Tamandua tetradactyla: one gene and its partners. The protein of the gene in region 4 binds, or shares a complex with, the protein of the main gene of each other region. Links are inferred from orthologs where the notes say so. Each region holds a gene or a part of one and is shown on either strand. Other genes may lie near its edges.

Region 1 (7,204 bases), on a different chromosome or scaffold from region 4:
AAAAACTGATAAATGTTGTAGGTTCCAAAAATTTGGAAATAACCCCTGAGCAGATGTGAGAAAAATATAACTCCGATATCACTTTTGAAAGTCATTTTGTCTTGCATATTTTACGTCTTAGGCTTTCCCAGTGGTGTGAGCCTGAGATTGGAGTGTAGAAAGAAAAAAGAAGAGTTGCAAGTTTTAAATTTAAATTTCTTTGAAGAAAGATTAAACATAACTTCCAAATGTGAAAACAGAAAAACATTAATTTCAAAATGAAATAAAACAATCATTTTATATTCTATGAATTAAATAGAATACATAAGACACTTAAAATCTGAAGACTTAAAACCTGAAGAGCTTTGCACTCATGAATTATATTATGCTATTGCCTTATGGCCAAATCAGAGTAAAAAATAAATTATTTATACTTAAGATTTTCATGATAACTAATAATGAAGAAAATGCAAATAAGACCCTACAACAGAGGAATAATTATTCGGATTTCATATCTCCTTCATCAAAGTTCTTTTTCATTTATTTTGAAGGAAATGTAAAATATATTGACTTTTTATATATTTATTTCATATTTAATTTCCTAACATCCAACTCTAAATTAGTAACTCCTTATTGTGATGTTAGTATTTTTTAATGTAGATGCTGCAAAATCAATCTTTTTCTTAGTGCAAATCTTTTTATACATTCTATCGTATGATGGGCACAAGTAATTCATAAGAGTTTCATTACATTTTTGTTATTTATATTACCTTCTACCACTGGACTCAAAATGGCCCTCTTTAGACTTGTTTTTCTTATAGTCCAAACTGAGCTGTTGACTGCTGGCAAACATGACCAACCTGCTCTCCCATCCTTGGCTTTACTCTCCTGATACCTGGGATATCTTTTACCCTTTATCTGCCTTTTGGAATCCTGACATTTTAGAACCCACTCAATCACCAAATTATTAATTCTTAGCACAGCACTTGGTCACCAATTAATCCCTTTTTTGTTTACTAGTTTTTTGACTGCTTTTACCCCCATCCCCACCCCAGAATGTAATCCTAGTGAGCACAGGGACTTTTTCCCTTGTTCACCTTTATATTCCAGTGTCTAGAACGGTGCCTGGCACACAGTAACTTTGTTGAATGAACAGACAAATTATCAGCTATCAAAACAGATTCAAGGATGAAATATAGTAAGATGCTTTATATATGATCATCTTTTTTTCCAAAAACCCACAAACATTTATATTCTAACATATAGGTTGACACTTCATCAAAAACTAGTGCTATTTTGACAAAGCTGTGTGAATTAAAGAAGAAAATGTGATATCTTGAGTCAGTCAAAAATAATTTCTAACACTCAAGGCTGAAAGAATTCCAGTTTGAAGGTGCTATTTTCTCATAAGAGACTGTGCTTATTATACTCCACTTATAATCCAACCAAACACATTTTCCTGGTTTTAGGTAAAGCTTCCCTTGATTTTGTCACATAATTTTAAAGGATTCATTTAAATGAAATAAATCTTAACATAGCTTTGAATGTATTTTCTAATAAGAAAAAATTTTATATTTCAAAGTAGGTATTCATTTTGATATCAATCTATTTTTTATATAGAGTAGAATCAGTATTATAATATTTTTCTTCTTGGACCTAACTTTTCTCCATACATTCCTCTCTCCAAGTATGTCTGAAGCACAAAGGAAAAGGAAAAAGGATGTGTATATGTCTGGAACTCTGAAATTTAGGGCTGAAATCACTAACCCTTCAATAATACAGAATGAATTATGGTGTGTCTTAATAGAAAGCACAGGAGCTCCTGATTCCACGTCCTATTATTAATCAAGTTTCTTAAGCTCTCTGAGATTCAGAGACAGCAATACTTACTTTTCTGGGCTGGAAAGAGAGGGAGAGAAAGATCAACTTAGCACCAAGCCTGGCGCATGGAAAATATTCAGTAAGTATTGACTAAATTAATGCAGTCTATTGAAAATAAAGTTACAATGAACTTACTAACTATATACCATATAATGAAACACCGTATGCAAATGAAAGGCGTACCTGAATAGCTAAAAGTGTAACTGCATTTTTTAACAGTTCACTGATTACTATGCAATCAATTAAGCAACGCTGCATATGAATAGGTCAAGTATATTGACCTTGATTAAACGCTATGGTTGATAAAGGAGTGGCCCCGAAAATATTTGTGCTACCCAAGCAAAAATGGCTCAAGAAATTATTTTATACCTTTATATATCTCAAATAGAAATCTACAAACATTATTGAAGAGGCAGTGGTTAGTTATTCATACTTCATAAGAGCAAAATATAACAGAGAATGAATTATTCTTCATTCATTGAAGTTGTTACTGTTAGAAATAATAACTGATGAATATATGGTGATTTGTACTTCCTCTTAACTATCTATTTTAATCCTCCCAAAAATCCTAAAAAGACAACACAGAAAGAGAACCAGAGGTCAAAATTTCATTTAGGAATTTCAAGACGTAAGTTCAGAAACATGGCATTAAATGTTTGATGCTGGAGTCAAGATCCCTTTGCTCATTGATTAACTATTATTGGGTCTGCTATATGCTAGAATCTGTTCTAGGTTCTAGAGATACATCAGGAAACAAAGAGAAACAAAATAAAATAAAAATCCCTGCTTCATGGGCCCTTATCATCTGGGATTCGTGTTGGACTAGGTAAAATTATGGCTTTTAGATTTCTGAACCAAGCTGTTCAAATATGTATTTATAATAAAGCTTGTTAAAAGAACTACTTTAGTGGCCAAAGGATTTGTTTGTGCTTTTCATCACCCATTACTGAATAAGGTTTGATGCTTTTTGCAAAACCTTGGAAATCATTTTTATTGTGTACAACTCTTTCTCTGCTGTTTGATTTAAGCTATGTGGATAATGATAACCAGCCATGAATTTGTTGCTTCCTCCTCTGGCCTCCCACAGCACTTCCTTTATATGATGCTTACAGGAGTTGGTGCAAGGAGTTCTCGTGGCTTACGATTCTGTCTTCCAACCCCAACTGACAAACGTTCAGAAATGTGGCCATGCTTCAATGTTTGCATGCCCAGTGCCTCGTCCAATGTTTGACATACAGTTCAGGGGAATGAATGTTTGTGGCATGAATAAATTTGTATATACTTATTTTTTCAAGCCACCTCCCTGGGCATGAGCTCGTCTGGCCTTCACACAATTCAGTGAATAGAATTATTTCTCTCATATTACAGAATCTCAGTGTGATTGAAGGACATCCCTGCAAACTGAGGATCAGTATAAGATTAAGTGACTTCTGAAGGGTACTGTACTAAGGTGTCAATTGCATGATCAGAGCTTTTTCTACAACACTAAATGAAAATATAGGCATCAGGTGCGTCTTTAGGGTCTGTTAGATGTATGGTCAATCATCTCTGACTTTCTCAATGGTTTGGTGAAAAATATTGCTTGTTGTGCAAATGCAGACCATAAAACGGAAAAGACCTGCAGAAATCATGCATAATGTAATCAGAAGAGGCATAGATTATATGCACATATTTTGTTGCAAAATCTGTCTGCCTTTATGAATTTTTTCTTAGTTGAAACAATTCTGCTTTGCCACAAGAAAGGGAATGGATGAAGCTTTGTCTTGAACCCACAGTCATCATCATCTTTCTTATAGAGGTTTTCTCTATGCTTCTTAATTTCTTCACCAGGAAATAGAGTCCCTACCATGGCAAGATTATGAGAGCAGCCTGTTTATTGGCAGAGTGGGATGACACAGCTAGATAGTATTTAGAGGTTCTAGTAATTCGATTATGATCAACTGACTCTAAAGCCAGCCTTTGAATAAAATTACCTCCCACAAGCTACAAAAGGCAGGGACTGTAGTGAACCTTCAAAGTAGTATATGACACATGGCCCCTAACACTCTTAGGCAAATTCCTGGCAAACTTGTTAATTAATCAGTAAATGGCAACCCTGAGTAGCCATTGGTGATAATCACTGGTTATGAAAGCGAAAAAGCTTTGGTACACATTTTTTTTTTAACTTAGTAATAGAAACTGTCCTTCATATTTGATATAAAGACATTTTTAAGAACTTGGTTTTTAAGAGAAATTATTTTCTAGGTCATTTACATGGGTCTTTAATGGACTTCTACAGCTAGAACCCTGGTTTTAAGTCCGTTATCCTGTGCACTGTTATACGTCAACATTCCAAAAGAACTTTAACAGAAATTAACAGCAGCCATCCTTAACCACCAACGTTTCCGACATAAGAAGCCTTTTCTCTCTAATAAGATAGGATTAACTTGCTGACGATTTTTCTTAATCTGAAAAAACTCATTTCCCCTCCCCCCACCCCCATACCCCCTTCCCGTCCCTTCTCTTTCCCCGGCCCGCATATACGTTTTATTTGAGCGGAAAGTTAAAAGAAAGCGCCACGCCAGCTACACCCACCCAGCGCTCCCGGGGGAGCAGTAAAGTTCTGGGGCAGAACCCCCGTCCCCAGAGCCGGGCGAAGCAGGCGCTCTGCGATCCCGGCTCGGCTCGGCGCCGCGTCGGAAGGTCTGCCCGCCGCGGAACAGTTGCGGCTCCATCTGGCTGACAACCCGCCCAAGCTTTCTTCTCCTCCGCCACCACCACCTTCCCTCCTTCCCCCTCCTCCCCCTCCTTTCCGTTTTCCCTCTCCACCCCCGCCTCCAATCTCCTCCTCTTTTTCTCACTACAAGCGGCTGCTGATGCTGAAGCCGAGCGTCACTCCGGCTCCCACGGCAGACATGGCGACATTGACAGTGGTCCAGCCGCTCACTCTGGACAGAGGTAAGGGAGCGGCCCGCCGCCGGGTCACCGAGTCCCCTCCGCCTCCCCCGCTGGGCCCAGCCAACTCCCACCGGGACTGAGGGACGCGCTCCAGCGAGCTAGGACGAGCCAAGAAGGCGTTCGCGCCGAGAGCAGGATACTTTCTTCCCCTTTCTCTGCCTGCCACGTCCCCGCCGCCCCTTAACACTTCACTCGCCCGGCCGGGGGTTTCCTTAGCCGGGCTTCGGCGCCCCTGCCACCATTCCCAGCCCCTCGCCTGGCCGCGCTGCGTGTCTCGGGCTTTGTTGGAGCAGATGTGCGGGGACCACTAGGCGCCCGGGCTCGGGGTTGGAGAGGGGCAGAGAGGACGCTCGCTGTGCCGGCCGAGGGCGCCTGCAGCCAGAGACCGGAGAAGACGGGCAAGGGTGCCGCCTGCCAGCCAAGGAGGACCGTGGCCCGGGAGGAAGGAAGGAAGTTTGCCCGAGCCTCAGGGGCTGGGGGTGGAGGGTGCTATTCTGTCTGGCCGCGAGTGTCCAGGAGGCCGTCCCGGGAGCCGCACGGCGCACCCCGGGGATGGCCCGTGCCCGGGCGCACGACGGCTGGGCTGCGGCGGCGCCGAGCTGCCCTCTGCCGAAAGGGCAATGCGGGGAGCGCACAGCTGAGTCCCGCCGGGAGCGCCGCGTCGCGGCAGCCGAGCCCCTCTGTCCCCGGCTTCGAGCTCCCAAAGGTAGAGAGGGTTGCGCCCGCTCCCGCCGCCGGCAGCTCCTCGGCGGAGTCAGTGAGCAGTTTCTAATCTCCCTCGACCTTCCTCGTCCACGCGGCCAGATTCGTTCGCCTCCCAGCCCGGCGCCAAGGCGGTGCCCGGGCTGCGGAAGGCGCTGGGAGCGAGCCCAGGGTGCGTTAAAATTCAACTTCTGACCTGCGACCCCGAGCGTCCTGCTCTCGCTGACTTGAATGGGAAGCCGCGTTGGCTTCCTCCGCAGGACCACCCCAAACGAGTGGAGTCCTCCGTTGCAATCTGCTGCCGGGTTTCAATAGTGCATCAGGCGGGGCAGTACCTGTGTGTGTTCGGTTTTTTTTCCTTGGCTTCCGACGGCTAGTAACGAAGGCGCTCGAGTTCCGCGGCTTGCAGCTGAGGGCACCCGCTGGTGGCTGTCTGCAGCGACCGGATTTAGGACCCTGAGCGGCCATTTGGTAATGGTGTGCTCAGAGGAAACACGATTTAGTCCGAGGTGCCTCTAAAAATATTCTTTCTAGTGGATTAAACTGGACGGTGGGACAAAGCAAAGAGCACGCTGTTGTGAGCACAGAGAAAAAAACCCTATGAACGCAGTTCGAGATTTTTAATTTGCAGAAATTGTGGTGACTTCACGCTGTTGGCGCCTGAACAGATGTTTTGTGATGCCTGTAGCAACCTTACTTGGAGTAAGAGTTGAAAAAAAGAAAGAAAAGAAAACAAACAAAAATTCCCAATTGATTTTATATTGGGAAATGTTAATTTGCAAACTAGTAAATTAATAACAGTAGTTGAAGAGCTCAGAAATCCCTGGCATAATCCGTTATTTCTCCCAGCAATATCATCATTTGCACTGAGCAGGTTCAAGCACTGACAGTAAAAGCCAGCCAGATGGCGAGCTATTAGAAATTACTGACTTCCCAAGCATTTTTGTTTCAATTTGATGAGCTCTTACATTTTACCATTACTAAATCATAATCTCTAAACATCCTAAGCAAAATGAAATGAAATAAGGGGGGAAAACCCAAGAAAGAGTTATACCTGAGCGTTTTAATATAATAATGATATTAATAATAATAAAAACCATTTCATTTTTTAACTTTTGCTATAGTCCTTAGATGTAACACACAGATGTTGAGAGGAAGTGATAATGAGACTGAGATCTATTCTTAAAGTTTTGTTCTTGTTGGAAATCAAACTTTACCTGTCCTCGCAGGTGAGATTAGGTTCACACAGTAGTTCAGGAGGCTAGCTAGCTATGTAGAGGCACCTGAATAAACTCTCCAGCAGCTCCTGGAGCGTATAATTTAAGAATGATGGGTTATTGGCATCATCTCTGAAAAGTCAAGATGTTTTCTCTTATAAAATACCATCAATTATACTCTCATTATTAAACTAATGAAAGAAGAAGTTCTGAAAATTTTCCTCCCCAAAGTAAAAGTCTTTAAAAAAGGGCAGCCAGTGTTACTTATCTGGGTCCCAGTTGGGACTTTGATACTCACTTTGGATAACTTTGATACTCACTTTGGATAAGTCAATTAACCTCTTTGGGCCTCAGTTTCTCTCTAAACCATATGACAAGTTTGAATCAATGATGCTGACACTGCAGCTTTAATAGTCAATAATTTGATTGATCAATATTAATACTCAGTTTTTCCAGATCATCATCCCTCCTCCTGGGTTGCTTTGATG
Region 2 (7,458 bases), on a different chromosome or scaffold from region 4:
AAGTACGTAGAAAGTGGTCTTCATGTTTACCCTTGCTTTTTCTTGGAAGGCATTCACCTGTCTACCCTGGGTACTGGACTCTTCTCAGAAAGTGTCAGTTCTCCCCTAGGCTGAATTCACAGAACTCGGATCCGGTAGCTGGGACTTGAAGGCAGAGTTCCCAGATAGGAGCGAATCGAGTACCCAGATGTACATGCAGTCTTCCCATAAGGCATTCAGCAGTTTCTGAATGGCTCATGCTCATTGCAAAACCTCCAAGAAACCAGAAAACAGTAACTGGAAGGCTAAACAACTAAGCAGAGATTTGAGCAGCCGTGCAGTTCTGGGGAAGCCGAATTGGTGTTCAAGGCCTTCCAAAGTGGGGTGTCTGGTTGAGTGTCCCAGTGCCACAGTCTAGGAGTAAGGGACAACTGAGATGGACCAGCCTAAGGAAGCCGAGGCTGAACATTACCAGGATTGAGGTGGTCTGACAACCAGAAGAAAACTCTGGAGGAAGATACTACCCACCCAGCCTCTGATCTTTTTTTAAAATCTTTTCGCTATTTTTATTTAAAAATCATGGGGTTACAATGTGGTGATAATGCAAGCCACTGATTATGTACTTTGGATGAATTACAAATGAAACACTATATCTCAATAAAGTTGCATTTTTAAAAAATCATAGGATTATGCTTCCATATAAAGCTTGTACAATTAGCAATGTAAGATACTAAAATATTTTTTTTTTTAAAAAAACCTCAGAATCCCTTTGATTCAATGCTCTTGTGTTTTTAAAAAAGAGAAAAATAAATAATGCAAAACTCAAGAGTTTTGGAGTGTTTGGCATGCTGCCCTTCGTTTCACTTGTCGACGTCATTTTACCAATAACAATGCAGCTGAGTTGCCCAGGCAGCCAATTCCTCAGGACTTGTCCCCACGGCCTCTGTCCCTACCACCTCCACGCCCGCTGCCTGCACCCCCACTACTGTCCAAGGGCAGAGGAACCCTGGAGCCCTGGCCTGGCACAGCCTCTGATCTTTAATACACAGTGCTCAGCGCCTAGCAAATTACCAGACATGTTAGAGAATGAAACTATGGAAAGAGGGAAAAAAAAAAAAAAGTTGAAGAAACAGACCCAGCAATGCTTCAGATGTTGGAGTTAGTGAGACTTTAACCACAAAATAAGGAAAAGATGGAGAATTTTAACAGATCTGGAATCTACCCACCTCCCAAAAAGCCATGGGAATTCTAAAACTGAAGAAAATTAATTCAGTAGATGAATTTATTAACTGATTATACATAGCAGAACAGAAGATTAGTAAGCCAGAGACAGAAGAGTGTGAAGTATCCAGGTTGAGGCCCAGAGAGGAGAAAACAGTGAAAAATACAAAGAGTTTAACTAAATAACAGGATGATTGAGAAAGGCACAATTAGGAGGTCCGTTTCGGGCAATGTTACAGATTCAATAACCTGCAGTCTATGTTACGAACACTAAAAGTGTTAGGAAAAATAAATAGGCAGACTTTCTTGAAAATAAGGGAAATAATGAAAAAGGAAAGCCTTTTTATGATGTGGGGGTTATTCTCCATCAAAACGAGGATGGAGATGTTGGATCCTATTCAGCAGGGCAATGAAGAGAAGTCCCAGAGATTTCCAGAGAGCAGCTGGGTCCAGTTTGGGGTAAGAAGATTGAAGTTGCAGGATAAAAAGAGAGGATTCAGTAAAATATCTTACGACAGAGTTCGAAAGAAACAGAATGTGATAAAAGGGGAAAAAAGGTAGATAGAAACCAAAGAAAAAGCAAGAAGCTGTTCAAAATAACTGTAATCACAGAACACTAACCTGGGCTCTAGGATAAACAATATTTACAGTAATAATATTAGCATTTTATTGACTTCATTAAAAATTGGTACCATAAGACTATCAAGGGAAGAGAGAGAAAAGACTAAGAACAGAAAGCCTATATGTAATATATTTAATAACATCTAAAATTGATAAATCAGGAAATGGTACAAAAGAACGAATTTCACCACCTACCTCATTTCAGCAACAAGAAAATCAAAATGGATCAAGGACCTAAACATAAGAAATCATAAAACTCAGAAGGAAACAGGGAAAATCTTCGGGTCCTTGTATTAGGCAGTATTAGGAAGCAGGTTATTGAATCTGTAACATTGCCCAAAACGGACCTCCTAATTGTGCCTTTCTCAAGGTTTAGATATGATATAGAAATATGAGCAACACAAGAAAAAAATAAGATACATTGGATTTCATCAAAAGTAAAAGGTTTTGTGCATAAAAGGACATTATCCAGAAAGTGAAAAGACAACCTACAGAATGGGAGAAGATATTTGGGAATGTACCTGATGAGGGTTTAATATCCCAAATTATAAAGAATTAAAACTCAACAAAAATGCAAAACAACCTATAAAAAATAGGCAAGGGGGGCGGGCCACAGTGGCTCAGCAGGCAAGAATGCTTGCCTGCCATGCCAGAGGACCTGGGTTCGATTCCCGGTGCCTGCCCATGTTAAAAAAAAAAAAAATAGGCAAAGGACTTGAACAGGTGCTTCTCAGAGGACATACACATACTCAACATCATTAGACATCAGGGAAGTGCAAATCAAAACCACAATGCCATACCACGTCACACCCACTAGGATGGCTATTATTAGGAAAACAAGTGTCGGTGAAGACACAGAGTATGTAAAATGGTGAATCTGCTGTGGAAAACAGTTTGGTGAATCCTCAAAGAGGTAATAAAGAGTTACCATTTGACCCTGCAATTGCATTCCTGGGTATATACCCAAAAGAATTAGAAATGGACATGAACAGATATTTGTACACAAAACTTCACTGTAGCATTATTCACAACAGCCAAAAGGTGGAAGCAACTCGCATCCACCAGTAAGAATATCCATACAATGGAATTATGCTCAACCATAAATAGGAATGAAGTTCTGATGAAACTTGAAGACATCATGTTGTCTAAAATAAGTAAAACAAAAGGACACATTTGTGTGATTTCACTTACATGGAGACAAAGTATATTACAGGTTATCAGAGTCTAGGCAGTGGGCAAATGGGTATTGTTGGTTGTTGAGTACAGAGTTCAGAGTGTTGAAACAGATGGTGGTGTTGGTAGTAGCATAATATTGTTAATGTGATTTCACTGAATTATACACGATAGTGGTTAAAATGGGAAAATTTTTGTTGTATGTGTTACCGTAATAGAAATTTTAAAAAAGAAATAAAAGAAAAAGTACTGTGAAGGAGACAGGGTTAACCAAACCTGCTGTAGTTCCCCCACTTTGTGAGAACCCATCCATTTCCCCATCCAGCTGAACCAGAATATGGAGGGGCAAGACTTGTCAGCGTTTCCTATGTCCATTTTTTTCAGTCTGGCCTTCTCCCCCAGTACTACCTGCAGAGTGTTCTTCCTAAAGTAACCAATGATTCCATGTCTTACATTCAGTAAACATTTTCCAGTTACCTTTGGCATGCGACACCACTGACTACTCGTTTTTTTTAAACACTCTCTTATGGTTTCTCCAACCTGGTTTTCCACCTTTCTGGCCATTCTTTATCCTCTTCCTGACTTTAACTGTTGGAAATTTGGGGGGTTTGGCTAGGTCATCTTCATAATATATTCATATGCCCTAGGCCTCCTCCCCACTCCCTATTCCACTATTTGGTTAGTCCTAAATCATACCCAGATATTTTCCAAATCTATCCTCCTCCAAACCTCCGCACTGGTGCAAGAGGACACCATGTTCCTCCCTAATCCTGCTCCCATCCAATTCTCCACACAGTGGCCCCCGTGATCTTCAAATACAAATTTGAAGATCACGGGGTTCGCAGGAAGTAAAAGCTCCTCGACGCCCACATGCCACCGCTATTCTAAATCGCTGCGATCCTTATTCTGCTACCCAGCCCCGGGGGCCCTTCTTCCAGGCCTTCAAACTCCAGGGCTCTGCAGGCTGCTCGCTCCTCCGGCAGGGGGGCCACGCCCACCTCGGGGCGCTCTTACTCCAGGTTCTGCGCCGGCGTCTTTCCTCTCCTCGGTCATCCCTCCCCACTCCCGATTCTCGTCACAGCCGCAGTTGGTTGTGCCTCTCCCGCTAGACACGAAGTTCCGTGTATGGAGTGGGCTCGTCTGCCTTGCTCATCACCGCGTCCAATATACGTTTGTCGAATGAAGGCTGAAATAAGACCAGATGGAGAGGACAGACGGGTGTGGTGGCAAGGACGGACAAACAGAGACTACTGTGGGAGTGACTGCAAACAGGGCAGAACGATGGGTGGGGGGAGGCAAGGCAGCGCGACGCGCAGACGGGCAGGTCGGGACCCCGGCACTGCGGGGCCGCGTCTCGGCAGGGGGCGCCCGTCTCGCGGGGCGGGGCCTCGCGCAGCCCCGCCCCCCTCGCCGGCGCGGGGGCAGGGGGGCGGCTGGGGGCGGCTGGCGGCGGCGGCGGCGGCGGCGGCAGTGCCATGGCTGCGCTCGTGGAGCCGCTGGGGCTGGAGCGGGGTAAGCGCACCCCGGGAGCCCTGCCCGCCCCGGCCCCGGTCCCGCGTGCCTACCCCTCCCGCGGCCAGGGCTGCGCGGGGGACGCGGGGAGCCGGCGGGGCCTGACGGGCCGGGCGGTCTGTGGGCGTGGGAGGGTCCGCGGGTCGCAGCGGGGGGCACCGGCCGCACGCCCCCGCACAGTGGCTGCGGGAGGGGGCCCTTCCGGGGAATGCGGGGCGCCCGACTGACCGCGGCGCCCACCGGCTCTGTTCTGTCCTTGCGGGCGTCCGGCTGCGCTCGCCCTTGCTCCTCTCCCGCCGCCTCGCTGCGCCCCTGCCCCGCCTCGCAGACGTGTCCCGGGCGGTGGAGCTCCTCGAGCGGCTCCAGCGCAGCGGGGAGCTGCCCCCGCAGAAGCTGCAGGCCCTCCAGCGGGTCCTGCAGAGCCGCTTCTGCTCCGCCATCCGGGAGGTGAGAGCCGCGCGGCGCCCGGCCGCCCGGAGCCCGGGGACTACGCGTCCCAGCAGCGCCCGGCCGCCCTGTGGCGCTCGCGGTTCTGCTCGGGGGCTCTTGGGGAGTTGTAGTTTCCTCGGGCCCCGGGTTGCGGGGACGGGGCGCACCCCTGGGTGGGAGGGAAGAGGGAGTGTGGGAGCCTGGCCCCCTGAGTGCGAGGGAGAAGGGACCCGGCGGCTCCCGAAGCTGCAGCGTCCCCTCCCAGGTGTACGAGCAGCTCTACGACACGCTGGACATCACAGGCAGCGCCGAGACCCGGGCCCACGCCACCGCGAAGGTAGGTGGCCCCCGCCCCCCATCCCTCTTGGTCTGAACGAACTGCCTGGGCCAGCTCAGTGTCTCTCTCGTGTCAGCCATCCCTTTTGCCAAATCTTTTGTACCACCCTTACCGTTAAATTTATGATTTCCTCGAAATACTCTCATGTTTTTTACTCAAACAAAAGTCCTACAAAGGCATCCTTGACAACTACAAATGGAAACCAGTACTGCCCTCCTGACTAGAAGGTAACCTTAGAAATCTATACGTTGAAAACAGTGACTGTCATTAAACAGTGAAATCGTAGTGAAATATAGTTAGACACTGTTTCCTGTAGCTTCCTTGCAGGCTCTCAGCTCCCTCTAGGCCTTGCTTGTTTCCCACTGATGGAAAGTGAGATTGGCAGATGTTGGGGGGTAAAGATACACACGAAACCGAGACTTCTTTCCGAAGTAATCAGAAGCACCTAGAGTGAAAGCAGGAGGCACATGGTCATCACCAGGTGATTTGGAGTTGAGTTGTGGCAGACGCCCCATGTCTGGGGAAAGCAATCTGCCTCCCAGACTCAGATCCCCCACCCCAGGCCGCATGCCCACCGTAGAGGGGCCATCCACTCCAGATGCTGTCTCTCTCCCAGGCCACGGTGGCCGCCTTCACGGCCAGTGAGGGCCACGCTCACCCCAGGGTGGTGGAGCTGCCCAAGACAGACGAAGGCCTGGGCTTCAACATCATGGGTGGCAAGGAGCAGAACTCCCCCATCTACATCTCCCGCGTCATTCCCGGGGGCGTGGCTGACCGTCACGGAGGCCTCAAGCGTGGGGACCAGCTGCTGTCCGTAAATGGTGTGGTGAGTGGTGACTGAGGCATAGTCTGTCCAAGGTGGCACAGCCCTGCTTTTAACATTCATTCATTCAACACAAAGTGATTGAGGACTGCCCACACGGCTGGGCAGTGCTGCAGACCCTGTGAGAAATTGGCCTCAGCTCGTACACTCAAGGATTGCCTCTCAGATAGACCCTGACTGAAATAGTCCTGATCCAGATGATGTGCTGTGAGGGAGGAAGCACAAAGCCTTGTGAGAAAGCAGATGTGGCATCAGACCAATCCGAATGAGGAAGGAATGTTTGAGTTGGGTTTTGAAGGATGAACAGGAGTTTTCCAGGCAAACAAGGTGAAAAAGGGTATTCCTGGCTGAGGCTGTTGCAGGTAGGAGCTGTGAGTCTTGTACTCTTCTGAAATGAAGAGAAAGGGCTTGGCCTTGATGGAGGTCTGGGACATGCAAGGAGGGACAAAGGAGAAGAAATAGGGGCAGGAGGGATAGAACTGAGGACTGAGGGCAGTAGGGAATGAGGATGAGCCTGCAGGTGAGGTTCAGTTACTGAGGGGATATAGGGTCATCCCTAACACCTGACATAGAGAACCTGAAAGGTTGGGGGGGGGGACACTGAGCCAAGAGTTAACTCTCCATAGGGACAGGAGGCCTTGGCATTTTGAGACGGTACTGTGCTCACAAGCAGTTACTCCCGTTTATGGGGTGGGGGCAGGCAGAGGGCCATGAGCCCTGGGCCCAGCTGTGGGTGCACCACCCTGCAGAGCGTTGAGGGTGAGCAGCACGAGAAGGCGGTGGAGCTGCTGAAGGCCGCTCAGGGCTCTGTAAAGCTGGTGGTGCGCTACACGCCCCGCGTGCTGGAGGAGATGGAGGCCCGCTTCGAGAAGATGCGCTCCGCTCGCCGGCGCCAGCAGCACCAGAGCTACTCGTGAGTGCCTTGTCACCGCTGGGACCTTCCACAGCCCCACATAGCCCTGGACTCCCAAACCAGGCCAATGATTCCAGGGTCCTGAATGCCACCCCCAGGTCTGGCTTCTCTTCCCTGGCACCCTGACCCTTGACCCAGGCCTGGCTTCTTTTCCCTGGCCTCCTGGCCCTTGACCCAAGTGAAGGCTTGGTCAAATCCCCTGGGAGGTCCTAGCCTAATCCTATCTCAAGATCTGGAACCCACTTCCCTGGGCCCTTGCCTCTGGAATCTGGGTCCTGGTCCTCTCCCATGTCTTCCCAGGATCCCTCCACTGAGCCTGGCTCCCTTCTCTTCACCCCCTTGCAGGTCTTTGGAGTCTCGAGGCTAAAACCACAGATTTGGACCCTCATCTCCGCCCCCACCCCTGTACAGTATTTATTGTCACCATCCCTTATTTAAAGATCTTTGAAT
Region 3 (7,175 bases), on a different chromosome or scaffold from region 4:
CCCAAAAAGATAAATTTCACAATTTCTAGTATCCAGTTAGAAAAAAATAACAGGTATGCATAAAGCAGAAAAATATGACCCATAAAGAGAAGAGAAGTCAATCAATAGAAACAGTCTCAGAAATAGGATAGAATAACATCATAACAGATAATAGAATTAACACAAAGGAGATTAAAATTTTAATTATAATATTGTATTCTAGATGTTCAAGAAGCTAAAAAAAATTGGGAATGTTAAGTAAAAAAGATGGAAGACATAAAAGGAAAAAATGAAATCAAACATCTAGAGATAAAACTACAATGTCTGAGATGAAAAATGCACTGGATGGATTTAAAAGAAGATTATATATTGAAAAAGAAAAAAAATAGTGAACATGAGGATGCAGCATAGGAGCTGTACAAAAGGAAACAGAAGAAAAAAAAAAGATTGGGAAGAAAATGAGACAATGTCTGTGCAAGCCCAAAGACAATGGAACAGCATCTTTAAGGCAGTGAAAGAAAGAATAATGTTGTGGGGCATTGAATCATGTTCCTCACAAAAGGCAAGCACATGTCCCAATCCCTGGTCTTGTGGGTGTGAACCCCTTTTGTAAATAGGAATTTTGAAAATGTTCTTGGTTAAGTTGTAGTGAATCAGGATGAGCCTCAATCCAATATGGCTCACATCCATTTAAGCAAAGGAAATTGCACACAGAAAAAGAAGCCACGGAAGCAGGCTGAAATTGGAAATCAATGGAGCCTGTAAGAGAAAGGAGAAGATGTGGCTATGTGCATTGCCATGTGATAGAAAAGCCAAAGATCCTCAAGGACTGCTGGCCAGCTGGAAGATACCAACTCCAGAAGGAAATAAGCCTTCCAGTTTCTAGAACTGTAAGCCAACACATTGTATGGTATTTGTTTTAGCAGCCAGAAAACGAATACACCTTTCAATCTAGAATTCTATACCCATCTATACCCAAAGATATCGTTCAAAAACTAAGGTTAAATAAAGACTGTTTCAGATAAAGGTGAAGTAATTCATTACCATCTTGACTACAAGAAATGCTACAGGAAATTCTTTAGGCAAAAGGGAAAATAATTACAGATGAAAATCTTGAGCTACAGAAAAGAACAAAAACAATGAAATGGTAAATATAGGTAGGTAAATATAAAGATCTCTTTTCTATTTTTAAAATCTTTTTTTAGAGATAATTGATTATCTAAAGCAAAAACAATGGCAATCCATTGAGGAATTTTATTTTGAACTTCCCGCCTCCCCAGGAGGGGGAATATGGGATAGTACTGTTATAAAGTCCTTAAACTATGCATGAGGAGGTATAAAATTACTTGACTCCAGATTTGGATAAGATAAAGATGTATACAATAAACCCTAAGGCAACTACTTTAAGAAAGAGGGATAGAGAAAGAGATACATGTAAAAAATAGGCCCAGAAAATAAATAAAATAGAATCATAAAAAATACTTAATTGATCCAAAAGAAGATTTAAATGGTGATAAAAAGTAACTAAGTACAGATGGCTCAAATAGAAAGCAAATAGCAAGCTTATATATTTAAATTCAAATTTATCAACAATCGCATTAAATGTAAATTATCTAAATTGGATAATTTTATCCTAATTGAATAAAAAGACCCAATTACATGCTGACTATAAGAAACCTACTTTAATTACAAAGACACGAATAGGTTAAATATAAAAGAACAAAAAGATATACTATAGCAGCGCTAATCAAAGAAAACTCAAGTGGCTGCATTAATAGCAGAGAAAGCAGATTTAGAACAAAGAATATTACCATAGATAAAGGAATAAATGCATAATGATAAAGATGTTAAGAGGAAATATTCTAAATATTTACGCATCTAATAACAGAGCTTCAAAATACATGAAACAAAAATGAACTGTGAAGAAAAATAGGCAAATACATGATTTAATTAGAGATTTTAGCATCCCTCTTTCAATCATTGATGAAACAAGTAAATAGAAAATCAGTAAGGATTTTAAAGATTTGAACAACACTATCAGCCAACTTGACCTAATTGACATTTATATTACACTCTATTCAATAACTGCAGAATTCATATTATTTTCAAATGCACACAAAACCTTTAATAAGATAGATCATGCTTCTGGGCAATATAACAAGTCTTGATGTATCTAAAATAAATCAAATCATACAAAATATTTTCTCTGACCATGATGGAAATAAATTAGAAATAATAAAAAGATATCTAAAAAATCCACAAGTACTTGGAACTAAATACCCATTGGGGGAAAGAAGTTATCAAAAGAAAAATTAGACTATATTTTGAACTGAATGAAAAATTGTGGGATGCACATAAGCCAGAAGTTTTAGGGAACCTTCAATTCTAAAGTCCTCTGTTAGAAAAGGAGAAAGGTCCCAAATGAAAGGACTCAGTTACCACCTTAGAAATCAGAAAAAAAAGAAAGCAAGCAAAGTAGGCCTAAAGTAAGCAGTCATCTACCAAATTTTAGGAAACAAATATTACCAATTCTATATAATCTCCTATAGAAAATTGAAGACGAAGAAATACTTCCCAATTCATTCTATGAGTTCAGCCCATACCAGACAAAGACACTATAAGGAAACTTCAGTTCAATATTGCTTATAAAAATAGATGTAAAAATTCTCTTAAAATATTAGTAAATCAAGTCTAACAATATATGTAAAGGATATAATACATCATGACAAGTGGGATTTGCCCCAGGAAAGCTCAAGAATTTTTACATCTATTTTACATCATACAGCTGGTAAGAGATAGAGCCAGGTAGTCTAAGAACAATGTCTGCATTTGTCTTATTCAACATGATATCCTCAGTGCCTAGGAAGGTGCCTAGTAGACATTATACATGTAATAAGCATTTACTAAATACATTGTAATAGAACAAATGACAATGTAAATAACAGATAAGCACCTGAGTGCAGGGCATAAGGGAGGTTGTATGGGGAAAGGAAGTCTTAGTGGAAGTGGCTGTGTCTTCAGTAGGGATGTGGAGGATGGGTTCAACTTGAGGGTATACACACTTTAGAGAATCAGAGGAGATGTAGAAGAGCATTCCAGGCAAGAAAAACAATGAATGAAAACCTTGTAGCAGGAATAACCATGGTTTTGGGAGGGGTGACGCTTTATGGGGTGATGAGAAACGAGGTTAGATGGGTAAGTTAGGGTCAGAGAATACAAGGCTTTAGAAATAGAAAATAGGAGAGAAACCACTGAAAGTTTCTGAATAGAAACTTTTGATGATGAAATTAGTGTTCAAGGAAAAAACAGAATGCAGCAGGTGACATTCATGATGGATTAGGGGAAGAAAATATTATAATTGGATGGAGAGGGTAGGCTGGGAGCAACCGGGAAGTTGTTAAAACTGTCTTGTCATGAAGAACAGAAAACCTGCATGTGAAAGCACCTAATACGATGTCAGCACAGACTAGGGCTTGGGTAAACGTCAGTAGGATCTAAATATTGGGAAAATTAATACTTCATTTAAATTAGGGACTAAAGTTTTTTTTGGCTCATAAAATTTTCAGAAGTGCTCCTAGGAATCTGTAATGCATTATTTGCTTTATAAAGTTACATTTATACATTTATCAGCAATTAGAAATTATTCTGTGATGTACCACAATGCCTTGTTTTCTCCCTCACCATATGTTTCATGCTCTTTATACTTTCCACCATCCTTTACCTTTACTCTCAAGCAGATTTTTAGGGAAGAGTTGAGTCTTGAGTTTTTTAAATTAAATAACTGCTTACCACAAAAAGAAATCTGCCACGCATAGGCACTTTATTGACAATATTTCATCTACACAATCAATTGCCACCTCAGAGATTGGATTCCTTCGTCGCACAGATGAGGAAACTGAGGCTGAGAGAACGCAGGTAAAGCATTCAAGGGTCAGTGCTGCTAATGGTGACGCAGGGACCAGGATTCCAGGCTCCCACTGACTCCTCTACGCGGCGCCAAGGGTTCCAAGCAGATAGGATAAAGCTTGAATCCCGAGGCAGGGTGCAACAGTCAAGAAAAAGGCTCTTGTCAATCTCGGGAGGCCAGAGGATTCGACAACCGGGCATCTGTTTGAGAACCGATAGAAAACACACCGTAAGAGACTCGGGAGCTCCCCGCACAGGGACTTCAACAAATCCCAGCACTTCCGGAGCCCTTCCTGCTCTCGCGATACCATCCGGCCCTAGCCCGGGGGCTCACGGCCAGGTTCCGCCCCCATCACAGCCCCTCTGTCGTCATTTCCTGTGGGGCTGCGGGCAAAGGGAGAAGATGGCGGCACTGGGAGAGCCTGTGCGGCTGGAGAGAGGTGAGTAAGGCCGAACCGCGAAGAGGGGGTTGGACGGAGTGCTGTGTAGCCTGAGGGGCGGAGGGGCGGCCCGGGAGTCCGCCCCGTGCCCCGCGCTGGCGTCGGTGACCGCGGTCGTGGCGGCGCCGGGCCCTAGCGAGGGTGCTCGCGGTATCCTGACTGATACCCAGACTCCGCCTCTGCACGCACGGTTTGTCTCTTGACATAACACTGTCACACACGCCTTGCCGGCGTTCGCAGGCACACGCCACACACGCGCTGCCTGGATGAGCATAGCAGAAGCAGTGTTCAGAGACGAGTAAAGCGGAGAAAGTAAACACACTACCAGCTCGTACAGACACACACACCACTTACAGATTTCGTTATATAGACCTCACGCCCTACCTGTATGTAAGTGCGCACAAACCCAGTGTCCCCGTCTTCACCCACGTATCGCACACTTCCCGGTCACACAGCACATTCCCAGAAAACCCTATAAACTCCATTGTTACTTTAAAGCACATCCTCACTTTTACTTGGGGTGGGTTATTTCCTGGCTTTGTGCCTTCCTAAGTGCTTTTAAAACGATCCTACTTACTTGGTCTTGGGAGGGTGATTACATAACTGGATCACCGTTTCCTAGGTGGAATAGTGGTAGATTGTAAAGTATTTGAAGATGCACTTCTTTTTTACAAACGCTGCAGTTGCTAGCTGTGGTTGGTTGCTTGTTTTTTATAGAAGACTGTCAAGGAAAATAGAAATTTCTCTTCTGAGTAAAGAAAGAATAAAAAGCCTGTGAAAAATACGTGCCTATACCCGTACCGGGATGTTGTTAGAGATTTTCAGCATTCCACTCTTTTCTCCCCAATTTCTTTATTTCACGCAGTTTCAAGCAAGCTTTGATACACCACGTAAGAAGTCTGCTAAGAACCAAGAAGTACAAAATAAACATTTTGAGTACTAGTACTAAACAAAGCCCAGGATGAAGATTGAAATTATCTTGCAGTGATTAATATTTGCAGTTATAGTCAGTATTAAATAGGTCCTATAAGAAGAATACATTTTTAGAATGATTCTAGGAATACCTCTCTCCTCTTCAAGTCACACAAACAAATGAGCATATTGTTAGTTTGTTCCTTATGGTGTTCACCATTTAGAAATTTCTTACAGATGAGTTTGTTTCTCTTCAGCTTACCAAGGCATTAATTAAAGCATGCTTTCTGACAGAGAAGTAGCTACTCTGAGAAGATTTGCTAAATTAAGCTTAAAACGGTAACATCTTCCTCCTGAACATAATGGCATTGTGCTTTGTAGATGAGAACAAATCTGGTGTTAACAGGAGTAGGTGTTTTTTTCCTTTGAAAGCCAGTTGTAGCATTCTAACACATTGGCATTCATTTGTATTTTAAGTACAGCACAAGATAATGTGGAACTTCACTCCTGGCATTTAGTTTTGGTAGCCATGGCTTTGTTTTTGCTGTTTCAGAATTATTTTCCTTGGTACAGCATGCTCAGCACCTTAGTAGGATGAATTACTAATGATAGCCATTTAAACAGGATGAAAGAGTCAGTACATCAACTCTGATTATTTTGAATTCTGTTTCACAGACTTTATTAACAAACACTTTCACCCATCCTGCAGTGTAAAGTTGCTACACATAATCAAGATCCTGAGCGCCTTCTAAAGCATCAGAATGTGATTCTTTGGGACGCATTTGAGCATATATTAGGTACAATTTAGATTCAATAAGAGAATTTAAAGTCTACAGTCTGTTAATTGGAAGTTTTTATATGGGTTATGTCCTATAACTTTGTAAACAAAAATTTGATGAACCAACAGTCCCCATTCTCCAGCCATTCTAGTAGTGGGAAGTCAGCATGGGGAAGGTATGTTTTTGTTTACATTGCATTTGAACAGCATCAGTTTAAGCTTTTATTATTTGAAACTTTCTTCACTAGATTTACTCCTAGTTTTCCAGCTGCAAACACAAAGCCATACTAATTCTATAAAGCAATTTTTCCCATCCTTCAGTGTAACATAAAATTTAGAACTTCTTCGAATAAAGACAGAAGGAGGCAAAGGATAGTAGAAAAATGCTGCATCCACCAGCGGTACAGAAAAAAATCAAAGTAAGCATAGTTGTTAATAGTGTTGTAAAACGTATACAAATCTTATAAAATATTTTAATTCATAAAATATTTGAACACTGGGCGGGCCACGGTGGCTCAACAGGCAAGAATGCTCGCCTGCCATGCCAGAGGACCCGAGTTCGATTCCCGGTGCCTGCCCATGTAAAAAAAAAAAAAATATATATATATATATATATATATATATACATATTTGAACACTTAGCGTTATACTTCCCAATCAGAATTGCCTAACATGCTTAATGTAGTTGTATAAATTTCTGCAATCTCTTATTATTTTATATAATTAATTAGCACCAATTTAATATTTGTGTTTGCTAAATGCCAGGCCCTGTTCTGAGCACTTTATATTTATTATTTGGTTCAGTCAGGTAACTCTTATGATGTGAATTTGTTGTATCTGTTTTATATTTGAGGAAATTGAGACTTCAGGGTGGTTAAAGTAACTTGTCCAGGATCACACAGCTAGATTTAAAACCAGATGACAAAATTAATTGTTTTTATTTTTTTATTCTGTAAACAAAAGTATTTGATCATGCTGGTCTTGATTAAAACATCATGTTAATGATCCTAAGTTGAAAGTGCACCAATCCATTATTTTCATTCATTTACTATTGTTTTAAATGTGTTCCTGTCACTAGCATCAGGTTATTAAGCAGTGCGTATCTTTGTGTGTGTTGTGTTTTTCTTTGGGAAATGAATAGTGATTTCACTAGCATGTAG
Region 4 (6,912 bases):
AATTAATTTTAAAAATTTAAAAAAATATGTAGATACAGTATCTCTAAAAGCTGCAAATATTCCACTGTAAAGGCATATCATTCTACATACCAATACCCTTATTACTGAACATTGGGTGAAAATTTCTGATTTTTACCATTATGAGCCTGGGATGAACAAGATAGGTGATGTTTTTGTTCCCCTTTGTCTCTTTCCTCCTCTTCATGGTACCCAGACCTTGCTCTATCCCCAACCAGCCATGTCATCTGGGGACAACTGACCCAGCTCCAGTAGTGAGGGGTGCCTGGTTTAAGCCAGTCTGTGTGACCCACTCCCCTAGCCCTGGAGATTAATTCAGAGAGGGGAATATATCCCACACAGAACCACTAGTGAAAAAGGACTCTATGTTTCCATGACAGGCTTCACTCAAACTTCATTTCAGAGGCAGAAATACTATATGAGGCACGAGAATGTCTTCCAGTGTATCAGATAAACAGTCATAGCACTGAATTCTGGTTGGAATCATTAAAGGGTACAGGGTCTGAGATTCAGGAAAACGATAAAGACAGCCTAACTTGTTCAGAGAACAGAAAGGAAAAGGAGTCCCATCTGTAGCCAGGGCAGAATTCATGTCCAAAGAAAAAATTGGTGAAATAAGAATCAGCATTTCAAAGTGTACATATTAAAGTTTAGGATAAGTCCATTTCATAATGGCATATTTTGTTCATTCATTTAAAATGCGATGACAAACATGACTATACTGTAAATAAGAAGATGCTGGATTACCAAGGGTTAGCAAAACTGAAATCCTTGAGAAAATCTTCGTTACTTGCAGCCTGTTGAGTGTGTGTCCTACATACAACCTCAGCTCACAGGATTTAAACTCAAGGATGAGATGCAAAGAAAGTAATCACTGAAGAACATGAAATCAAAAAAAGTTTTGACTGCTATCAGGAGAGGCGAGTCCAATTTTGGCTGTTCAGAACCATAACAAAGGCTATACTGGTGGACACGGCTCTAATATAAACCCAAGTCACCTGGCACAGTGTCAATAGTATTGTCACCTGATACTGTCACCACAATGGCTGGAAGGTTCCCAGTGTCCACTACATTGCTTTCTGAAACATTAAATAGCAGTTTGCCCCTTGTGATGGGGGTAGGTGGATACAAATGTTTGATGTGGCTTATACGAATACTTTTAATAAAGAAGAAAATTACTAGTAAAGCAGGCCCAGAATAATTATAGATAGAACAGACAGATCAAAGGGAGAGTTAAAACAGGTATGAAAGTCATATGGTTCCACCAGTTCCTAGAATGAGCTGCAGATATGGCTTTGAGTTTCCTACCAGCCAAGGCGCAGAGCACAATATGAACACTTGTGATAATGATCTGCATTGTCCATAAGGAATAGACATAGCTGTGTTTTTCATCAGGGAAAGGGAGGAAGTTTTCCAGATATGACTATTTGGTGGTTAATTAGTTTTTGGAGGTCTCTAATCTGCCATTATAATAATTACTGCTTTCCTTTATATGGCATTTAATACTTTGCAGAGTAATTTCACATACTTTCCTTAATCTGCGCAAAAATCCTGTGATGCAAGAGTGAAGGGGAAGGTATTATTAAAGCAATAATGTACTGCCTCTCATGCATCTAGGAACCTTGTCTAACTGGGGACACAGCACAAAAAGTAGAAAATAAGCAGAAAGATCTCAGAGATGTCAAACCAGATGGCACCAAGTGTATGCATAGAAAAGAACCTCTCAGAATCTACCTCCTCTTATCTAACCTGAATTCTAACCAGGTTAGTTAATTCCCTTCCTAAAACTACAGGAGCTTACAAGTAACAAAACAGGAACTGTTACAGGGAGGCACTCTGAAAGCCCCCAAATCTGTCACTTATGAAAGCAGACACAAGAACTTAAACAAACAATTGCAGATAGTGTAAATTTTGAAAACTCCAAACCCTCGCCAAGTAGGATAAACTGGGACTTGCTCTGAGTCTCTCAGTCCTGGACTCTGACCCTCCAGAAGTCGGTTCATCACTCTGGGATTTTTTCCAGAAATTGTAATGTGATCATGATTGCTTCTCTCAGCCCTCACAGACCTTCAGTGACTTTCTAAGGCAAAAAAGGTAAAATCCTTAATTAAAATGGCCTTCAAGATGCTGTTGCCTGCCTCTCCAGACTCATTTCACACACACTCCTCACTCCAGCCCTACCTGCTTGCTTGCACTCTTTCTTCTCTCTGCCTAGTAGTGTCTCCCTTCTGCCTCTCCTGGGTAATTTGAAATGCCATTTCCTTGGAAAGGCTTACCTGATCTTCGAGTACAGATTAGGTTCCCTAGGACACCCCTAACACCTCAGCATCCAATTGAACACTTGTCAGAGTTGCACTTAATTATGTCCAATAGTTCAGTATTTATCTCCTCCAGTTTTCTGAGAGCCCTGAGAGAACAAGGACCTTGTCTGCCTTGGACATATGTTGAATAAATATTAAAAAACAAATACATACATAGCAAGGACAAGCATGATATATCTCAATATATAATATTTCAGTCTTACTAAAAGTTGATTTTGAGGGGGAAGCTATTGTTTTCTTTATTTAAGAAAAAATGATTCATTATGGATAGAATGAAAAATTCATATGAATTTAAAAGCTAAAACACAAGACTTCCAGAATGCTTCAGGCTACGCCCCCATATTTTTCTGGAAGCATTGTGCTTAACATAATAAATTCTCAGCTATATGGAAACATGGTGTAAAAAAAAAAAGATCCATTTCCAAGGGTTCTGTATAACCAAAGCTTATTTTCATTTTACTGGATGAGAATATGTGTGCGAAAAGCACTTTGCAAACTCTTAAGTGTGTGTGCAAATGTAAGTTGTTATGATTACCGCTGAATTTTTATCCGAAGGGGGGAAATGATGTGGTTCATTTTCACCGCTAATTAGAGGCGGGGCTGGCGCCAGGACCTGGCCTCCTGAGACCTCATCAGCCCACTGCACTTCATTAATGCATAGCACCTGCTACCTGGTTCCTGCTGCAAAGGGCTCCCCCCCTCTCTCCCGAGCCAGAGGCCATAACTGGGGCGGATGCCCTAACCCAGGCTCAAATACACTTTAAGCTCCAATCAACCAGAACTGAGAAGCGGGTAAGAAAACCCACGCCACACATTTCCCGGCAAGATAATACAGAGACTTTCTGCTCTTCCGGACGGGACTCGGCAGCTTCCCACCAGGGCCGCAACCTGGCCAAGCTTCGCTCTGGTCCAAACCCGCGGCTCTCCCCCGTGCGGCGGAAACGGAGAACTGCAGCGCTTTCCAGAGACCCTGTCAATCTTCTTTCCGGAGAAGTGCTGGGAGTATTTAAGAGGCCGGGGAAGCGGGAAAGCTCCGTAGTAACTAAGGAAAGAGAACAACCCTCAGGAGCCGACGCGGTTGCCCGAATTCGTGGTCAGCTCCTACGCACAGAGGTTGGCCAAGACGGCGGATTAGGAAATCGCCGACCCCTTGGGCTTCCGCTGAGAAGGGTGGAGGTCTCCGTTAGTCCCCTCTGGGAGGCAGTCGCGTTTCCCTCTCTCTGTCCGGCCAGTCCGGAGACCGAGAAGTGGCCGGAGAGCGCAGGATCAGGGCGAACGCACTCTAAGGCTCGCTCGCCGGGTCTGGGCGCGAGGAACAGATACAGGGCCGGATGCCCCCCATACCCACCCGAGCCGCGTAGGGAATACGGCCCGCCGAGAACGCGGGTGCCTCGAGCTCGCGCGTTGCGCGCGCAGGCGGGTGGGCGTGGGAGGCAGGGGCGCTACTAGCACGCGGCGTGCGCGCGCGCGCCCTCCCTCGCAGGCCTGCCCAGCCCCGGCCCGGCGCGCGTCACGAGGGGCAAGCCCGCAGGCGGGAGGGCTGGAAGGCGGGTGGAGGGAAGGGGGTGGGGCCGCGGGACCTGAGGGGCCCGAGCGGCGGTTGCGGAGCGGGGTGAGGGCGGCGGTGGTTTAGGCGGCGGCAGCGGCAGCGGTGGCGGCAGCGGCAGCGGCAGAAGATGGTGGCGTTGGAGGTAGGAGCGGCTGGAGCGGAGCTTTATTCCCAGGCTTGGCACAGACGCTGTCATTAGCGCCGTCTGCTCCCGCGGGCCAGCGGATCCAGCTGTCAGGCAAGGTACCACCGCCAGGGAGGGGCGTGTGGGAGGGTGGGGGTGCCCAGCGCTGATGCCGCCGGCGACGGAGCCCGGGTCCCCGTCGAAGGGTGCCCCTGGGCGCGAAAGGGGCTGCGTGGAACAATAGTGCGGATGAAGCAGGGACAGCAGGAGACCTTCTGGGGCAATGCCTTTAGCCATCGAGCTGGCAGAGCGGGGGAAGGGAGCATTGAGGGGAGAGTCGCCTGGTGTCCGAGTAGATGCACGCTGAGATGCCAGGGCTCTGAGGGCAGCTGGCGGGCCTGATGATAGTCATGACCAGACTTGTGCGTGTGTGTGTGTGTGTGTGTGTGTGTGGGAGAGAGAGAGAGAGGGAGGGAGAGAGGTAGGTACAGCAGAGGAGGTGGGGTGAGGGCATTGGACCGGAGGTGTTGGGGATGACATTTCCAGGAACCCCCGCTAGGATCCCTCATCTGTCACTGACTCTCCGGGAGGAGTGCCGTAATAGAAATGGTGAGGTGGGCAAGATGCATTTGGTGTGTGAAGTGTGGAGGGAGGGAGTGAGGAAGGGGCGGGTTTGTAAAATCCTGTGTGTTTGAGTGTGTGTATGTGTGTGCACGTGTGTGATTTCATCTAGGCTTCCCAAACTGCGCCCCAAACCCAGGGATCTGTTGGTCCCCTGACTTGCTCTCACGAGCCCAAACTGTGGTACAGAGTTTGTTATTTTGACCCTGAAACTCAGTACAGTCTCTGTTCTGCTCCTGCGTGTGGATTGCTCCGGTCTCGGCATTCTCGTTTCCCCTTTCTCCCGCCCCTTGACGCGGGGATGTGGAAGTGGGCATGCAGCTGTGGGGCGCATGGCAGGGAAACAAGATCATGGTTACACTCTCTGGGCGTGCTGGTGTCCCCCCTTTTTAAGGGGGCTTCCACCCCGAGACACTTTCTCCTGGTCTTAGCCTATGTTCTGTAGGGGTCTTAGACGCCCTGACTCTGCAGTTTCTATTGTTTATCTCTTGTCTGACCTGAAGGAGGGAGGTCATTAATGGACCCATTCCTCTCCCTGTCCCCACAGTTTTGAATGCCAGTGTCCAACTATACCTTCCCCCTTCACATTTAAACACTGGGGTCCTTGTGGCTGAAGGGTGGGTGGTCTTTGTGATGATTCTTTTAGAAAGAACTCTAGGGGTGGGGGTATGTATAGATAGAGATAAATGGGGGGAGGGAGAGAATATTTTAAAAGAAGAAAATTGTACTGAGACCTGTTTGGCATCCCCTTGGTCAGCATCACACAGCCAGGGTGTTTTCCTGAGGAAAGTGGATACTTTCTTTCTGCTGCTAGTGACATCCACTCTCCTACCTTTCAAAATGGCTAGGTAGGGCTATGTATCATTGGAAACTGAAACCCCCCAGGCCGATGATGATGGTGTCTTGGATGGATGAAGTCCTTGCCTTCCTGCCTGGTGTAGTCCCTTAGTAGGGGATGTGAGAAATGTCAGGCTAGCAATAGGTCACCCAGTGGGAGCCAGGAGACAGAGATGCACCCAGAGTCTATGTCTGTTTAATTGTCTCTGCGTGATAAAGATAGGCTTGTGTGGGGATGGGTAGAGAGAGATAGGAAGGCATATGGTATATCCCCGTGTGTGTCCACTGCGGTTTGACTCCCTGCGCCTCTGTTTCTCCCGCGGTGTTCGTAAGAATTAGTGCACCTTTATGCTTAACATACTGGTACCTCTTTATTAAAATGTTGTATGACTAGATTAACCTGCCTAGAATGTATTCTGGTCATAATATCTTAAATTCTACTGCATTGCTGTCAGAATCCAAACTGGCTGCCCCAGTCCTCTTTGAAAAGCCTGTAGCAGTCATGGCTACACAGGTAAATATATAACACGTTGGCATCAGAGTTCTTTTTCTTGTTTCCTTTGTTTTAAAAAAAACATTTTTTTTTTTGGTAGAGGTTGCATGCTATTATTGTTAAATTGGAAATAATAATAAAACTAGACCTATCCATATATCGCTTTTTTCCTTCCCACTTTTCTTAATTAATGATGATATAGAGACCAGGTGCTCTTGAAGCTGCCATCATGAAGTATTTCCCCGTTTCCCCATGTCCTTCAAGTAAAGCTTTTTAAAATTTTAATGTGAGGTTGTTGGATCTCATCCAAGATTTAGGGATAGCTTTATAGAAATAAATTTTGCATCTTAGTTCTTACTTTCTTATTAGTTCTGCCAAATCTCTTTCTCAGAAAAGTACTTACGGAATTTTAAAACGTTGTAAGAGGTTTTTTTTTTTTTTAATGTCATCTTTATATTTGCAAGTAAAATCCAGAGATGTAAATGTCTTACATGAAAGTTCAACAGTATCAGGAATTTCCAAGGTAATAAACTATGTTTAAAGTAAGAGGAGTTATACAGCAATCCAATTGATGATTCAGATATTAGTAATTTCCTTTCTTATGTAAATGTAATAATTTTTAATATGCAATACCTGGATTTCCTAAAGGTTAGTCTGCTAAGGTTAATGATACAGCTTGAATCCTGTAATTCAGTCTGGTAAACACGTTTACCTTTTGCTGTAGTCCGCAGCAGGCCATTTGTTTTGCAAGTATGCCTTTTTTTCACTTTAAGTAGCATTAATGCGTTTCTCTTCCATTTTGTGTCTCTTAAAGAACTTTGTTTTCTAGAAGACTTGTAAGTAAAAGACATTTGCAAACTGACCTATGTGGGTAAAAGGAATAAACTATGGTAATATAGGAAAATAGGACTTTTATCCTATAAGGAAAAAGTTGTTGTTGCTAAAATTG

The links.
Region 1: APBA1 (region 4) and LIN7A share a complex: the UniProt entries of both Homo sapiens proteins name them as parts of the brain-specific heterotrimeric complex. The link is inferred for Tamandua tetradactyla from reciprocal best matches to the Homo sapiens genes APBA1 and LIN7A.
Region 2: APBA1 (region 4) and LIN7B share a complex: the UniProt entries of both Homo sapiens proteins name them as parts of the brain-specific heterotrimeric complex. The link is inferred for Tamandua tetradactyla from reciprocal best matches to the Homo sapiens genes APBA1 and LIN7B.
Region 3: APBA1 (region 4) and LIN7C share a complex: the UniProt entries of both Homo sapiens proteins name them as parts of the brain-specific heterotrimeric complex. The link is inferred for Tamandua tetradactyla from reciprocal best matches to the Homo sapiens genes APBA1 and LIN7C.

Annotation. Positions count from the first base shown.
Region 1 is NC_135333.1:150,094,477-150,101,680, reverse strand, and holds the start of LIN7A (protein lin-7 homolog A), read left to right. Parts: upstream 1-4,202; 5' UTR 4,203-4,715; coding exon 4,716-4,797; intron 4,798-7,204. UniProt on the Homo sapiens protein: Plays a role in establishing and maintaining the asymmetric distribution of channels and receptors at the plasma membrane of polarized cells.
Region 2 is NC_135342.1:12,006,652-12,014,109, reverse strand, and holds the start of LIN7B (protein lin-7 homolog B), read left to right. Parts: upstream 1-4,446; 5' UTR 4,447-4,469; coding exon 4,470-4,506; intron 4,507-4,834; coding exon 4,835-4,953; intron 4,954-5,200; coding exon 5,201-5,272; intron 5,273-5,888; coding exon 5,889-6,098; intron 6,099-6,844; coding exon 6,845-7,008; intron 7,009-7,353; coding exon 7,354-7,375; 3' UTR 7,376-7,458. UniProt on the Homo sapiens protein: Plays a role in establishing and maintaining the asymmetric distribution of channels and receptors at the plasma membrane of polarized cells.
Region 3 is NC_135334.1:103,337,928-103,345,102, reverse strand, and holds the start of LIN7C (protein lin-7 homolog C), read left to right. Parts: upstream 1-4,162; 5' UTR 4,163-4,288; coding exon 4,289-4,325; intron 4,326-7,175. UniProt on the Homo sapiens protein: Plays a role in establishing and maintaining the asymmetric distribution of channels and receptors at the plasma membrane of polarized cells.
Region 4 is NC_135328.1:99,577,325-99,584,236, reverse strand, and holds the start of APBA1 (amyloid-beta A4 precursor protein-binding family A member 1), read left to right. Parts: upstream 1-3,912; 5' UTR 3,913-4,131; intron 4,132-6,912. UniProt on the Homo sapiens protein: Putative function in synaptic vesicle exocytosis by binding to Munc18-1, an essential component of the synaptic vesicle exocytotic machinery. May modulate processing of the amyloid-beta precursor protein (APP) and hence formation of APP-beta.